Linked DNA regions of Mus musculus: regions 1 and 2 are each reported to be linked to region 3. Evidence: microRNA targets listed by miRTarBase, many of them from high-throughput screens and not tested one by one. Region 3 holds a microRNA gene; each other region holds the end of a gene's coding sequence.

Evidence for each region. Region 3 holds the annotated microRNA mmu-miR-3106-5p (UGGCUCAUUUAGAAGCAGCCA, at 2,239-2,259, shown strand). A microRNA usually pairs through its seed, bases 2 to 8, with sites in the 3' UTR of a target mRNA and lowers its output. Matches are read on the target gene's strand: a 7mer-m8 pairs with bases 2 to 8, a 7mer-A1 pairs with bases 2 to 7 and ends in A, and an 8mer does both.
Region 1: miRTarBase lists Actr10 as a target of mmu-miR-3106-5p. Seed matches in the 3' UTR shown: 7mer-A1 at 3,589-3,595, 7mer-A1 at 3,247-3,253 and 7mer-A1 at 3,177-3,183.
Region 2: the mRNA of Mrpl35 is a reported target of mmu-miR-3106-5p. Seed matches in the 3' UTR shown: 7mer-A1 at 3,208-3,214.

What each region holds. Positions count from the first base shown.
Region 1 is chr12:70,961,116-70,966,180 of GRCm38, reverse strand. Actr10 (ARP10 actin-related protein 10) reads right to left here. Exons shown (of 13, transcript NM_019785.2): 13 at 1,463-4,314. The coding sequence ends at 4,133. Among named protein-coding and RNA genes, the nearest start is that of n-TKctt17, 5.5 kb to the left of the region's middle.
Region 2 is chr6:71,811,773-71,816,837 of GRCm38, forward strand. It overlaps Mrpl35 (mitochondrial ribosomal protein L35), which reads right to left. Exons shown (of 4, transcript NM_025430.3): 4 at 1,225-4,515. The coding sequence ends at 4,327. Among named protein-coding and RNA genes, the nearest start is that of Mrpl35, 9.5 kb to the right of the region's middle.
Region 3 is chr8:16,165,989-16,171,063 of GRCm38, reverse strand. It overlaps Mir3106 (microRNA 3106), which reads left to right and starts at 2,226; the gene lies at 2,226-2,307. The region is part of intron 23 of Csmd1 (CUB and Sushi multiple domains 1); the gene reads left to right.

The DNA of each region.
Region 1 (5,065 bases), not on the chromosome of region 3:
TGATTGTTGCTTCAGTCTCTATGAGCCCTGCTTAGTTGATTCTGCTGGCCGTGTTCTTTGGTTTCCTCGAACCCTCTGGCTCCTACAGTGCTTCCTCCCCTTCTCTGTGAGGTTCCTGGAGCTCCACTTAGTGTTTGGCCATTGGTGCATCTGCTCCAACAGTTGCTGGATGAAGACTCCAGTGATTGGCCACCCACTTGAGTCATTTTCTCCTACTTCCCACCTTTGGAGTGCTCCATGGATGAGTTCACTTTCCCTCTTGCTAAATTTGCACCCCCCCCCCCCTGTGAACTCTGCTCCAGTGATGCTAGGCCCTCCTCCAGTGAACTGTCCTTCCCTAGGGTGCAGTTGCTCAGAGCATGTGTAAGAAACTCTTCTTATATAGTCTTGGGGCTGCTATGTACGGTATGCAACTTAAACGGAGGCACTATTTCTGACCAGAGTTTTAAAAGAAACAGCAAAAGGCCCAGATCCCTGACCTTCTGATAGACACATATCCTTGGTGGGGTCAAGTTTCAAATGCTAGCTTTCTGCTTAGGAATCCTCACTTTTTACTGATAGTTCAAATCTCTCCCTTCCTTCCTTCCTTTTCTCTTTTCTTTTACTTCTCTTCCTTTTTCTTTAAAAAAAAAAAGATTATATACATATGAGCACACTGTAGTTGTCTTCAGACACACCAGAAGAGTGTATTGGATCCCATTACAGATGATTGTGAGCCACCATGTGGCTGCTGGGAATTGAACTCAGGACTTCTAGAAGGGCATCTTAGTGCTCTAACTGCTGAGCTACCTGCCCAGCCCCCAGTTCTCTTTCTTAAATTAAAAAAAAAAAAAATAAATAAAAAAATAAAAAAATAAAAAAAAAAAAGAGACAGGGTTACCCTGGCTGGCCTGGAATTCCATATTTAGATCAGGCCCTGAACTCACAGACATTCCTCTCTACCTCTGAGCTCCATGTTTTTTGAGATATGGTTTCTCTGTATAGCTCAGGCTTGACTTTCGACAGTCCTTTTATGCCTCAGTCTCCCAAGTGTCTGAATTACAGCTCTTAATGTCAAACATGAATGGCCAATCAGATATCTACTTAGACAACCTCAAACTCACTACGCAGCTCAGGCTGGCAACAAACTCATGATCTTCCTGCCTTAGCGTCCCTATTGCTGGAATTATACATGTACCACACTATGCCCACTCAAACTTACTTGTGATCTGTGTAAAAACTTGTTTCTCTGGAAGTTTTCCTGTGCTTTGTGGCAATGCTATGTGGGCCACAACATTGTTATCTTGTTGACTACATCTACAATCCTGCTTCCAAGTAAAGCCACGTCCGCAGGCACTAAATGTTAAGACTCCAACTTGTCTTTTTTGGGTGACATAATACAATCCGTGAGTAGTAAATTCTTAACCTGTTCCTTGGGATTGTCACTTTATAGGTAGTTATATAAGGCTGCAGAGCAATCAGATTTCGTTTTAAATGATCATTTTTATTTTCTTAATCCAAATACAAGACAAAATCAGTACAAATGCAGAGTAGAGGGTTTTGTGTCTGTGTGTGTGTGTTATCAGGATCTCAGTATAGAACCCAAGTTGGTCTTGAACTCCTGGGTTTGGATAATACTACATCTGACAGACTCCATATGCGTGCCAGCATGCACAACTGGGGACTTAAAATATTTCTTGCAAAAAAAGATGTTATCGAAATAGTGGGTCCATGTAAATTGAGTATTTACAGTGTACCTTCTTCTGAGCCTTAGCATGCTCAAAGTCAAAGACACTGAGCCCTGTCCTTTAGGAGCTTCTGCTCCAGACAGAAGATGACAACAGTGTCAAAGCAATGACGATCAGTGCCTATGACAGATGTGCTCAGGACGACAGACATCACCATCACCTTTAGGACAAAGCACATTAGGAAACTTGGCGGCCAAGCTGATATTTCATTACTAACATGAAATTCAGATTAACTTCTCCTTAAGTCGGGATTAGCAAGATCTCATCTTACTATTACTCTTACCTCCAGCACCCCAGCTCATTTGCCTTGAGTGTAGAGTGCTGCTCACATAACCCGAAGTAACCAGTTCCCACTACCTGTTCTTTAGGAAGCAGGTCAAAGTTCTCCCAAATGGTTTTTCTCCAGGGCCAAAAGTAGTATCAGTAGCAACACTGATAGCTTTTGTGTGACCATTGGTGTGCAAATCTGTTTCTATTAGCCTTTGACCCCTAAAGGGCAATTGTCCACATCTTACTGCTCACAGCACCCACAAGTACACAGGGCACACAGATGGTCAGTAGGTATCAGTAAATCTTAGTCTTTGGGTAGGAAAGGGTAAGTAGAATAGTAGAGATATAAGTATTTTAAAGTCAAACAGACAAATGCAAAGAATTCATTTCCTTCTAAAAATTATTTTGTGGAGATGGAATTTCATAGAAACCAGACTGGGCTCCAACCTGCTATGTAATTGAGGTTGCCTTGAACTCCTGATCACCCCTCCTCTAACTCCCAAGAGCTACTTTACAGAAATGTAGCCATTATATCTGATTTACTGTGAATCCTTTGGCTGGCCTGGAATTCACTATATAGACCAGGCTGATCTTGAACTCATAACAGAGACCCACCTGCCTCTGCCTCCCACTTGCTGGGGTTACAGGAGTACATCACCATACCAGGCGTTCTTCATTTTTTGGTTTTTCAAGACTGGGTTTCTCTGTATAGCACTGGCTGTCCTGGAACTTGTTCTATAGACTAGGTTGGCCTGAGATGTGCCTGCCCCTGCCTTTTAAGTGCTGAGATGAAAGGTGTGCACCACCACTGCCTGGCTACCGGGTTCTTCTTTTCCTACTTTTATTGCAGGAAGCCATTTTCTTCAAGAGTTAGTATCTTCATATGTAAAGAATATGGCAAAACTTGGAAATATTCAAAAAGCAAAGTGATTAGACTATGTGTGGAGTTAAAGTATACACACCAGAACCTGTGTTAGTTCCTACCCATGAGTGCGCAGGCGCGCACACACACACCCACCCCGTCTTGAGGAAGTTCATTAAACAAATGAGGACAAATAAAAGTTTAACAACAAATGAGTTCATTAGTTGAAAAACCCTTGTGCTAAAATAGAAAGCACAAGAGCAATGGTTAGTTTCATTATGAATATATTTATTGAAAATTATAGGGGGCTGGTGAGATGGCTCAGTGGGTAAGAGCACCCGACTGCTCTTCCAAAGGTCCAGAGTTCAGATCCCAGCAACCACATGGTGGCTCACAACCATCCGTAACGAGATCTGACGCCCTCTTCTGGTGTGTCTGAAAACAGCTACAGTGTACTTACATATAATAAATAAATAAAATCTTTAAAAAAAAAAAAGTAAAAAAAAAAAAAAAAAAAGAAAATTATAGAGTGAATTACTTTTCGTAGGAATGTAGAGGTTTCATGCTCTTGAACATAAAGTTCAAAAGTATCTATTTCTACACCTTGCATAGTGAATGCCTGGCCCTGCTATCAAACAGTCTGAAAGATCTGAAGTTTCATGGGCATACAGTGAAACAAAGGATTAAGAAACAGATCATGTTAGAATGTGAAATAACAGATTGGTGAGGTGGCTCAGCGTATGTCTTCCAGAGGACTTGATTTTGGTTCCTCGAAATCACAGCACATGACTCAACAGAATGACCGCAGCTCCAGGGACCTGATGCTTCCTGTCTCCACAGGCACCTGCATCCATATGCACACACGCTCCTATACATATATAGTTTTAAAAAAATTTAAAAAGAACCTGAAATGACTGCAAAGGCTAACATTCATGGCCTGGATCTATCACTAAAAATAGTAAAATTAGGGGGTTTCTAATACTCGGCAGATTATGGGAACTGGAGGAAACTGCACTACATAATAAACTAATAAAATTGAATAGCTTAACTATATTTATTGATATAAATACAACATATCTCACAAGCATCCACTACGACATACGACACAAGAGACAAAGTCAGATGAATTAAATATTAATGCAAAGAGAAAATACAGAAATGCTTTGTAACATAAAGGTCACCTCTATATATTAAATCATCCCACATACTTTGTACAATTTACCTCTAATTGATTAAATATTTGAAATAAGCAAGGCTGGATGTATTCAAGCGTTTATTTCTCAGTGGAAAATGCCCTTTTCATCAGCGGTGGTTGCGCTTTCCCCACATCAAACATCATTTCCAGGGGAGGGTTGTTGAGAGAGCACCAGTCAGGTATGCGGCCCGTCTGGTTATAGTATTCCTTTGAAATGGAGCGGCTCCCAAGAATGTCTTGCAATGCTCCAAAAACAGCCCCTGTGTAGTGACAATAATTTCATAAGCTAAGATGATGCATCAGAAAGTGTAAGCTACGCAAAGAGGAGACTGGTAAATTCAGCAAGCAGACCAAGCTCTCAACTCCAACTCAATGAGATTCACTCTGAGAAACAGGGTGAGCCATGACTCCTCTGTTGAAAATAACCTAAGGACCCTTTGCAGATTTCAGGGAATATGGTATTCCAAAATCTTAAAAAGGTGAAATAACTTGAGGTAGAAGGACTTCCAACTTTAGGAAAGACTCAAGTTTTCTTTGTCACAACTCTGTTACATGTCATTAAATAACATTGCAAAACCCAACAGATATCATTTAAACATTTTAAGATTTTTTTATACCAGAAAAATCTTACAAAGATGCATAAGGCAAGGGCTGGAGAGATGGCTCAGTGGTTAAGAGCACTGACTGCTCTTCCAGAGGTCCTGAGTTCAATTCCTAACAACCACATGGTGGCTCACAACCATCTGTAATGGGATCTGATGCCCTCTTCTGGTGTGTCTGAAGACAGCGACAGTGTACTCATATACATAAAATAAATAAATCTTTTAAAAAATGCACAAGGCAATCTTTATAAAAAAAAATTCAGCTTCTAAATCTAATCTAGGTGAAAAACCAAGATTAACCAAAGTCTACTTCACAAGAAACCGTACTACTATCACTTAAAATTCCTATTGTGTGCTTTCTCTCTACATGCATGATCCTGCCACTGGCTCCATCAGAAAATAAACTATA
Region 2 (5,065 bases), not on the chromosome of region 3:
CTTAAGACAAAGTACTTGCTAACAAGCCTGATGACTTAAGTTTAAACCCTTGGACTCCCATGGCCAAAGGAAAGAAGACATTCTTGCAAACTGTCTTCTCATCTCCATGTGCACACTGTGGCACACATCTCCCCCCACCCCGACCCCCAAATTAAATAAATAAAATGTAATATATATAATGTAGAAGGAGTCTAGGGATAGAGCTCAGTTAGCTGAGCGCTTCACTAATATGCATACTGCTCTGGGTTCAACCCCTAGTTCCTTATAAACCAGATATGGTGGAACACAATCTGCAATGCTAGCATTCAGGGGGATTAGAACCTCAAGGGAACTTCAGCTATATAGAGAACAAGGCAGGCCTGGAACATATGAGACTCCATCTCAAAAATACAAAACCAAAGTAAAAATTCTAAGTATAAATGAGTTAAAGATTTTAAACGTGGGAGGTAACAAGGATTAGAAACCAAATGCTTATACTCTCTGGCCTGGAAACTTGGCCCATGTCTACTACATAGGATGGCCCGGAAGAAAAACATCACTGATACATGTCTCACAGACTCAGCTGACGAGACAAATATTAACCTCAAAGTCTCACTATTTTACTGTTTTAGAGGTCAGTGGAAACTGGGAGCCTGTGAAGATATGAGCAGTTCACTGGTGGGCAGTTTTATTTGTATGGGCAGAACTGGGTAGCAGTTTTCTTCCTGAGTTTTTCTTCACTTGCAGATGGGGGATTGCCTATGCAGGTTAGAACAGGCTTGTGTATGTGCAGAGCCACTGTGGATGGTAAAAATGCCCATAGCACTTCTGCATCCCTTGCCTTGAAACTATGAGCACCAGGCACCAGGGCCATCGCTATCATAGTGTCATAGAGAATGCACAAGGTACTGGGTTCTGTCTCCAGCACTGCATAAACAGGATGTGATATAACATGACTTTCATCCATCCATCCCAGCATCCAGAGGTAGGGACAAGAGGATCAGAAATTCAAGGTCATCCTCAGTTACACATCAATTTGAGGCCAGCTGGGGCTAATTGAGACTCTATCTCAAAAACCAACCAACCAACAGTAAGGCAGCAGGCTCACTCTAGCCTCACTGGGAGGTCACAAAGACCTTCAAGTGTGGTCGGTTCTCTTGTTTTTACAGTACACAGACTAGAAACTAAAGCAGCAGATTCAGAGGGCAGAAAACAGGAAGAAGAGATGGGAAGAAAGACTAGAAATCCATTCATTCATTACTCATTTACTAAGCCAGGGTTATGCACCAACAGAGTTGACAGGTAGAGAGCAAAGTCACACAACTCAGACTTGAACGGGTAGAGTATTTACTACTAGTGTCAGATCACAGTCATTTGTTGATCAAGATATGAGTATCCTATGTTGTTAGAAAATCAAAGGAAGTACACAAGATTCCAAAGAGTTAGACAGGGGATCTGGGATGCATTAGCTATATTTTAGAGTAATTTATTTCAGCTTCTATAAGCTTTAGTGCCTTCAATTTATATCAGGGATAAATGATAGCTCGTGTATAAGATTGTATAAGGTTGGCATGAGGTGCAGCAGAGTTTTGCAGATTTGCTTAAATATGACAAGTGTTCAATAAATTACATGTAAATAAACAGTTATGCATACACTTGAACATCATTTAGGCAGGCTCTAAAGCAAACTGCTTTGTTGTCAAACTAAAAACTTGGCTTTGATGAAAGGCTCCCCTACCCACATACAAAAGCTGTATGTATGAAGAAGTTCCCTTTCCATCCGAGGTGTGCCTGCAGCCCTTCTACTTCAGCCTGTGGCCGCTGTCCTCTGCCTAGCCTGTCCTTGGCTACAGGGGAAGCCAAGGCACTGAGGCCATGTAACAGAGATCTGAACCATCCATGTCGACTCTAGAAAAGTCTAAGGCTGTGCAGTGTCTCCCTCCTTAGCTTCAGCACAGTGCCACAGATGTGCGGGAAGCAGGAACTGTGCAGGCGAGGAACCTCGAAAGCCTCACAGCACTCAGCTTCTGCCGCCTCAGGGGTGAGCACAGCACGAGCCACCGGGGCAGAGCCATTGGTGTATGAGGTGCTCAAGTCACACGCCTGCTCTCTATCACCTGCCCCCACACATACACACATACACACATATGGGGTTTTACGACATTCTACATCCCTCTCCATTTAATGAAGAACTGGCTTCAAATGGATAAATTAAAAAAAAATTAAAAAAAAAACAAACCTAAGCTGGGCAGTGGTGGCACACGCCTTTAATCCCAGCACTCGGGAGGCAGAGGCAGGCGGATTTCTGAGTTCGAAGCCAGCCTGGTCTACAAAGTGAGTTCCAGGACAGCCAGGGCTACACAGAGAAACCCTGTCTCGAAAAACAAAACAAAACAAAACAAAGCAAAACAAAACAAAACAAAACAAAAACTGAATGGTCCTCAAAGTCCTGGCCTACCTGCCATCAAAACACCAACTGATTGCCTTATTCTACTAAATGGGGGACTTCATGTTATCATCAATGGATTTCAAACAGTCATTCATCCTTAATAGAATTTTCAATGAGGCAGGCTGCTTTGTTTGGAAATGCTTCCAGATGGTTCTGATGGGAGAGCAGAGAGTCACTCTCTCGGCCTGCAGCATCAATTCTGACTCTCTGTAAACCACGTGTAACTTTTGCATCTTTCTCCATCTGACTACTAACAGGCCCGACCTGACCCTACTTAGCTTCTGAGATCAGACAAAGTCATGTGCATTCAGGATGGAATGGCCAGACTCTTTTCTAAAATGAATGATACTAGCTGGGCGTGGTGGCCCACGCCTTTAATCCCAGCACTCAGGAGGCAGAGGCAGGCTGATTTCTGAGTTCGAGGCCAGCCTGGTCTACAAAGAGTTCCAGGACAGCCAGAGAAACCCTGTCTTGAAAAAACAAACAAACAAACAAACAAAAAGATAAAATGAATGATACTGTTGCCTTCTGAGCACAGCTGACATCAGTCTCATTAAATGACAGGCAACTTTCTCCCTTAGTTTCCACCCTGCGTTTTAGAGAATTCTGGAAAAAAAAAGCTGATCTTTACCAATGAAAATAAGAAATCTTAAGTGGATAAACTTTTTAAAAATTCAGTGCCTTTGAAAAATTGGGCAGAGGCCTGGAGAGACAGTTCAGCATTTAAGAACTGGCTGTTCTTGTAGAGGGCCCAGGTTCAATTCCCAGCACCAACATGGTGGCTCACAACCATCTGTAATTCCAATGCCAGTAGACCCAACAACTTTCCTCTGGCCTTCAAGGGCACATACACACATGCAGACAAAATACTCATATGTAAAAAATAAAAAGTAAAGTAGAAAAGAAAAACTGGGCAAAAGAGTTTATTATATAGCTATGTATTTCAAGAAGGGTATTTGGGAAGGTGATTTATTTTTATGAAAAGTATCCTGTTACAATAAAATTAGTAATAACTGTCATAAATACAAAGAACCCAGGACACAAGATGAAAGTGCCCTGCTACTCTATGTACCTCTAAGGAAAACAGCTCACACCTACCTTTTTACTCCATATGAACCTACTGATACAACTAAGAGAGCCTGGGTGGAGTCCTAGCCACAAACAGATAAGCTCTACATTGCATGATGGCATTGATTCAGACTTACGAGGAAAAGGCAGGATGGCCCAATGAGAGTTCCCTGGCAATTAAGAGAGAAGAGATGACAAGAGTTGAGGGTTGTAATGTTAAAGGGAACCCAAAGGTTCAGGCTGAAGGGAGTCTGAGAGATAGAAACTTTACATAAACAAAAGCCAAGACTAAAGAGAGTGATGGTGAGTAGACACACACACACACACACACACCACACACTCTCACAGTAGAACCAAGGCATAAAGTCCCACCATCTCTTGCTTCATCCAATTCCTGCCCTCCCCAAAGCTGGGGCAGAGAGTTACAGGTAGGAGACAGTGAGGAGGTTCCTGAGTTCCTAGGTATTTATTTTTTAAACACAGCATGTGTCATATTGGGAATAGGCATGTAAGATGTCTGTTTAGCATGTGCAAAAACCTGGATACCATCTCAATTCCACACAAAGGCCCACTGTTGAGCGTCTTTTCGTGTTTTTCCTCATCCAAGATTCCAGAAATAAGGAAAGCCATTACCAGTTTTTTGAAATAATGCACAATAAATTTAACTTTTAGTTCTATGACCAACTCTGGGAATGTTTAATGCACAATGGTGGTAATCTAAGCTTGCCGATCAGCTGGTACAGTTTACAGTTTAACGCATACTCACTTTGCAAGGGCATTATGTACACAAAGACCCACATTCCATAGCTGGGAACTATGATAGCTCTGAACTATACTCGTAGGTTTGTTCGATCGTGGTACATCTGGTAAGGATCGCCAGCGTACCAGTTGCGCCTCTTCCAGAAAGATGTCGTCATTTTATCCAGGAGTTTACTCTGGGTCTTGCTGCAGAACACAAATTCCCTCAAGCGCTTCTTTCTTGCAGTTGACTTTTTCCATAATTTTTTCTTATAGCCAGCCTATGAGATAATGTTCCAAAGACATTTTAAAACTTGCAAAGGCAGCAGCAGATGCTCCATAATTTATGGTATATAGGCCCAAAGAGCAAAGCCAGACCTACAGAGATTGGGTTGTTTCTCTTTGCAATAAGTAACAGGTTAAAAAGCATGTGTAGAAGAGGATTAATAATTTAACACTTTAGAAAGATTATTTAAATTAAAATCACAAGCTAGACATAGGGTACATATGTGTAATTCAAGCACTCAGGAGATTGAGGCAAGAGAACTGAAAGTTGAGAGCCAGGCTCTGCAGATGAAAGCACGCACCACTCTTCAGAGGACCTGAATTCAATTCCAGCACCAATACAGGTGGCTTACAACTATCCATAATTCTAGCTCCCCAGGACCCAATGCCTCTGGCCTCCGTGGGCACCCCACTCACAGGCACAGGCCCACACATACAAATAACTGCAAATAAAATAAATCTCAGGCAGACTGATCTCTGTTTAGTTCAGGGTCATCCTGGTCTACATAGGAAATTCCAGGCTAGCCTGGACATAGTAAGATTTGT
Region 3 (5,075 bases):
TTCCTTGAAGAGTGAAATGTAAGGGTTGGTTTGGTGCTGCTAAATATCCAAATGCTAAATACTGCCCCCATGAGGAGATGCTCATGTACACCTCATGTACAGGATGTTATATAAACCTTGCCCCCCAAGTTATCACCGACTAGGCCTACAGCCTAGGTTCTGCAGAAGAGAGAGGGACAGGATTCAGGCAGGGACCACGAAGAGAGTGAGAAAGAAGGAAGTCACTGTGCTTGGATTGTGAGTGTATGGCTTACAGTCCTTTTATAGACTGACAAGGAAAACATGCCTTAAAGGGGTGTATCAAAAACATCCTAACCTTTGCTAATAGCTGTACCAGTAACTGCTCTCAGAGGCATATGGGGAGCAGGCATGGGCCAGCTAGGGTGGGGAAACATTTTTTTTAAAGATTTATTTATTTATTTATTTTATGTATTTGAGTACACTGTCCCTGTCTTCTGACATACCAGAAGAGGGCATCAGATCCCATTACAGCCACCCTGTGGTTGCTGGGAATTGAATTCAGGACCTCTGCAAGAGCATCCAGTGCTCTTAACCACTGAGCCATCTCTCCAGACCCAGAGGGTGGGAAAATTTAACATGAGGAGTGCTGGTTACATTGCTCAGTCCAAAGTTGAACAGGTTCCTGGGGCAATGGAAACCTCACAGTCATCTTATGACTCTCAACCAAAGAAGTCTTTAGCATGATGTTGAATGACGAAAAAGAACGCCAGTTCACTGAAGCAAGTAAAGAGAGCTGCAGTCTAACCTCCCGAAGTGCGTCTTACCCAAGCACCGAGACATTTAAGAGCTGCATGGAAGGCCAAGTAGCAGGCTATTTCTCCAGGCTAGTACAGGGAGGCAAATGGGGTTGCACCTCCCCTGCCATAGCTACCTGCCCTCCCCTTTCCCAGGATTAGGTTAAAATTCCTAAGTGAATACGAAGTTTATTTCTTTAGAAGTCCCCCAGTCTCACACTATCTCATGAAACCTGGAGATTGCCAGGCTTTGAACATTTTCCTTGATTGAACCAACCCTAGTCCTAACAATCTGCCTTAGAGTCCTCTGCTCGGATTATGTTGGAGGTAACTGTAATCTGCCTCACATGACACGGACCATGTCTTCTGTCATGGCCAGGCAAGTCCTTGCTAAGAGAGGGTCACATAAAGGACCATGTTCCTAAATAAGTTGCCAGGGTCAGGACCAGCCACCTCCACAAGCTCCTAAGCCAATAGTAGATGAAAAGAATATATTGCCCAGAGTGTATAAAAAGTATTTTTAGAGGTGCCAATTTGGATATTATCATGAAAATTAAATCAATATGAAGGTATGCAGTACTGAGTTTTAGACAATGGGAATTAAAGTTGAATGCTAAAAAAACTATACTTCATATATATAAAATTGAATGTTTCCCTAATTGTCTCTCCAGCATTTGCATTTAAATGATTTCATGTTGAGGCTATTCCTAACTTTAAAAATAATTATGTAATTCAATTTCACAAAAAAATGCTGAAGACTCTTAGAAACATTGTTGAAAGTATATGTTTGAAGGGACTTTTAAATCTTAAAGGCACATCAGAATTTGTGCGTGCTGCATTTTGGCATCGGGGCTGCGTTGATGGGGTCGCCTTTTGTCATTACCTTCCCCTGCAGGTTGGCTCCATTTGTGCTGACATTCCAGGCTTGCAATTCTATGTTCAATCTAGTTTTACTTCCTGTCTCACTTTGTGAAATGAATATTTATTAGAGAGTTATATAAAACTATTTTTATCTTATAAATTTTCGCTCATCTTTGTCCGGGAAGACTTCGCGGTTACACAGACTCTCCTGCCAGCCAAGCAGATGCTTAGAGCCATCTAGGCATTTTAATAAATTGTGGAATTTCAGAGTGGAAAACAAGAATACTACTTTGACATATTAGTCCTAGAAAAACAAATTTGAAAAAAAGAAAAAGAAAAGAAAAGCAGACCCCTGAAGGGGGAAGTTACATTTTAAATTACTAAATCACCTGTGTGTAAACCATCAGATTGTCCTGTATTATATTCTGAACACTGGTATTTCTGCTATGAAATGTGGAATGTTGTTCGCTGAGGTCACAGCTGTCCTTCTCCTGGGAATTCCTGTGTAAAAGTGTTAGCATGAGCATTGTCTGTATGTGCATTTGGGAAACGGAAGGAAGAGCCACGCCCAGGCTCACCTGTGTGGCTTCTCATCAGTACCTTGTCCCCAGGGAAGCACAGGTGGCTCATTTAGAAGCAGCCATACACTCAGAGAGTGGCTGCCTATACATGGGCTTTCCTGTGCTCCTCTCCTGTTGCCACGGACCCTCAAGGAAGGAGCCATGCAACTCGGCATGTGACCTCCTTTGCCGGTAGCCACCAACACAAGAATGCCCTCTGTCTCCTTAGGCACTCGCTGATGGATCTGTGACACCTCTTGTGGGGCTGAGCCCTGGAAGCCATGGCTGGGCCTAGGCAATGAAATAAATGATGTTTTACCCAGTGAAGTTAATATGTGTTCAGTGTGTGTCAAGTGAGCACTCGATGTTCTACTAACATGATGTTCTCCCAAATGATAACTGTTACATGTTGGTTTTCAACCAGTACCAACCACAAGTTCTTAATGAACAAGTATTTATATTTTTTATCTCTTCAGCATCTAATGTTCTTCTTCAATATAAATCAGAAATAGGCAATATACTTTATATGTATTTGAAGCAATATAGTCTCAGTAACCAATGAGTAAAACAAAGATGATATACCTGAATCCTCAGGTAGATAATGAGAGCAATCATGTCTGTGCATTCTGTCTATGTCTGTTTCTCTTCCTCCCTGTCTCTTTAGTTTTAAAACCTGTTACTATAGTCTACCCAACAATAATATAGAAATAACAAATATGTTGGCTTAGAGAGATAACTCCATCTATAAATTGCTCACCATGCAAGCATGAGGACTCGAGTTCAGTTCCCAGAACCCACATTCAAAGCATCCACGGCAATATGTGATTGGGAAGTGTGAGGATGCAAAGACAGGTGGGGGCTCAGGCTCAGTGGGAAGGCAGTCTGGCCCAAATGGTAGGCTATAGGGTGAATGGGAGAACGGGTCTCAAAGAGTAATGTGAAGAGTGATTAAGGAAGACTCCTTACATCTGTGTCTGGCTCCTACATGCACATGAGTCTGTACACACATGAACACGTGTGCTCACAAAACACATGAGAGAAGTTACTATGCTCACAAATACATTTCATCAATAAAAAGAAATTTGAGTGATCCCAGTGAACTATTAGATGTGTTTAGTATCAAAAGTATCATCATCAGTCAGAAATCTTAATTAAAATCGATTTTGAAGCATAATATTGAAATTTCACTTTTATATCAGAGTATTGGGTTTTTCTTTCAAATTTATCATCAAAATTAAATGTGAAAAAAAAAGCTACAATATATGGACATATTAAGCAGAAACAGTAGAAAGCCATTAGCACCATGCCACATAACTAAGTGGCTTCTATGTCATCCTGAAACTTTCAAGGACTCTGGGAATGTCAACATGGATGCTAAAAATATTCTATGCCCCTTCTTGCCACATATGTCCTTCCCTTTATTTAAAAAGATAGAAATGAACAGCTTGCACACATCATTGGGAAAGGCCAGCAAGAACAACCAAGGAAGTTCCAAAGCATGAATGAGCGCATCATGCTTTGGCTGGGATGGCTCAGGTGCATGTCTTAATGTGTTCTTAGACAATCGTCACAATTTGTGCTAATTCATAAGTCTGATTTTCCAATTGGAATCCAAGAGAACACGAAATGTCTTGTTCTGTGTGTGAGTATTCTCTGAAACATGTTTATTAAGATTAGCTCCTAATTATCGTCAATGAAAGGTTTCTTTGCTTTCCTGGTGTCTCAGGAAGCCTTGGTGAGGGCTAATCTCTGAGTGAGGGGTGGGCCCGGGTTCAGTGTCTTGTGCTCAGTGTCTATGCTCTCTTCCTCGGGAGCTGTGCTCTTCCTCCTCCACATTAGCTCGCATCTCATCTGAACCATTGTCCTCTAACCCTACTTTTGATAGCTTTGCAGTGACTCTGCCTTCCTATCTGTTCTCACTCCAATCCATTCCATAGGACCACAAATGAACTCTTAAATGTTGGGTCTGTGCTGTGTGTCCCTCCCTGTATCCCTGTGAGTCTATGGTTATTTGTGTGCCACCCCCAGCATCTCTATGCCAGTATTTCTGAGCCAGGTTCAATAATACATTAGTGTTGGATCAGTGTGTTTTGTATTCCCCAACCTTTCTCCTCCCCTGTCCTACCCATCTGACTCCACTTCTTTGTCAGATAGCTTCAACAGATACAGAGGTCATAGGTAGGCTGCACATCATTCATTCTTCTCTAGGTACCACTGAGAACCATGACTACCATTCTTCTCTGGATACCACAATGTTTTTACTCCATCATGCCCAAGAATTTTCTTTCCAGTACGATTTCACTCTGGTTTGAGGACTAGGTAAGGTAGCTGTACTTCCTTCTAGAACTATCCAAATGGCTTTCTTCCTGCTAGTGCCCAGACATCTCTCTGTGCCTCTGTACCCCTGCCTCTACTCCATCATTTAGCAAAATGCCTTGTCAGTAATTTAGTTCCTTGGCTACAGGGCAGAAGGTAGGATTCCTTTCCTCTATTGCCTGAGCCCAACATTGCCAACGACTCTGGCTTTGGCATCCATGTTGTGGGTAAACCTAGGCAGGCACCCATTGGAGGTTAGTGCTTAGAGCTGCCATCCTGGGTGGATCCAGATACCTACAGGGGCTGCTGCCAAAGGCATCCAGTGATTAGAGAAGCTGCTTAGCAGACTTTTTTTTCTGAGGGTACAAAGCTTACTTTACAGGGACTGGCACTTCTTTGGAACACTGCAAAATTATGCATTTCTTTAACTCCTTGGGGCAGGCAAGAAAGAGAAGGAAAGAGAGAAAATTCACACACACACACACACAGACACACACACACACACACACACTGAATGTATAAAAGGCAGAGTCCAATAGCTTCATACACACAAATATACATGCATGAATACATACATACACAT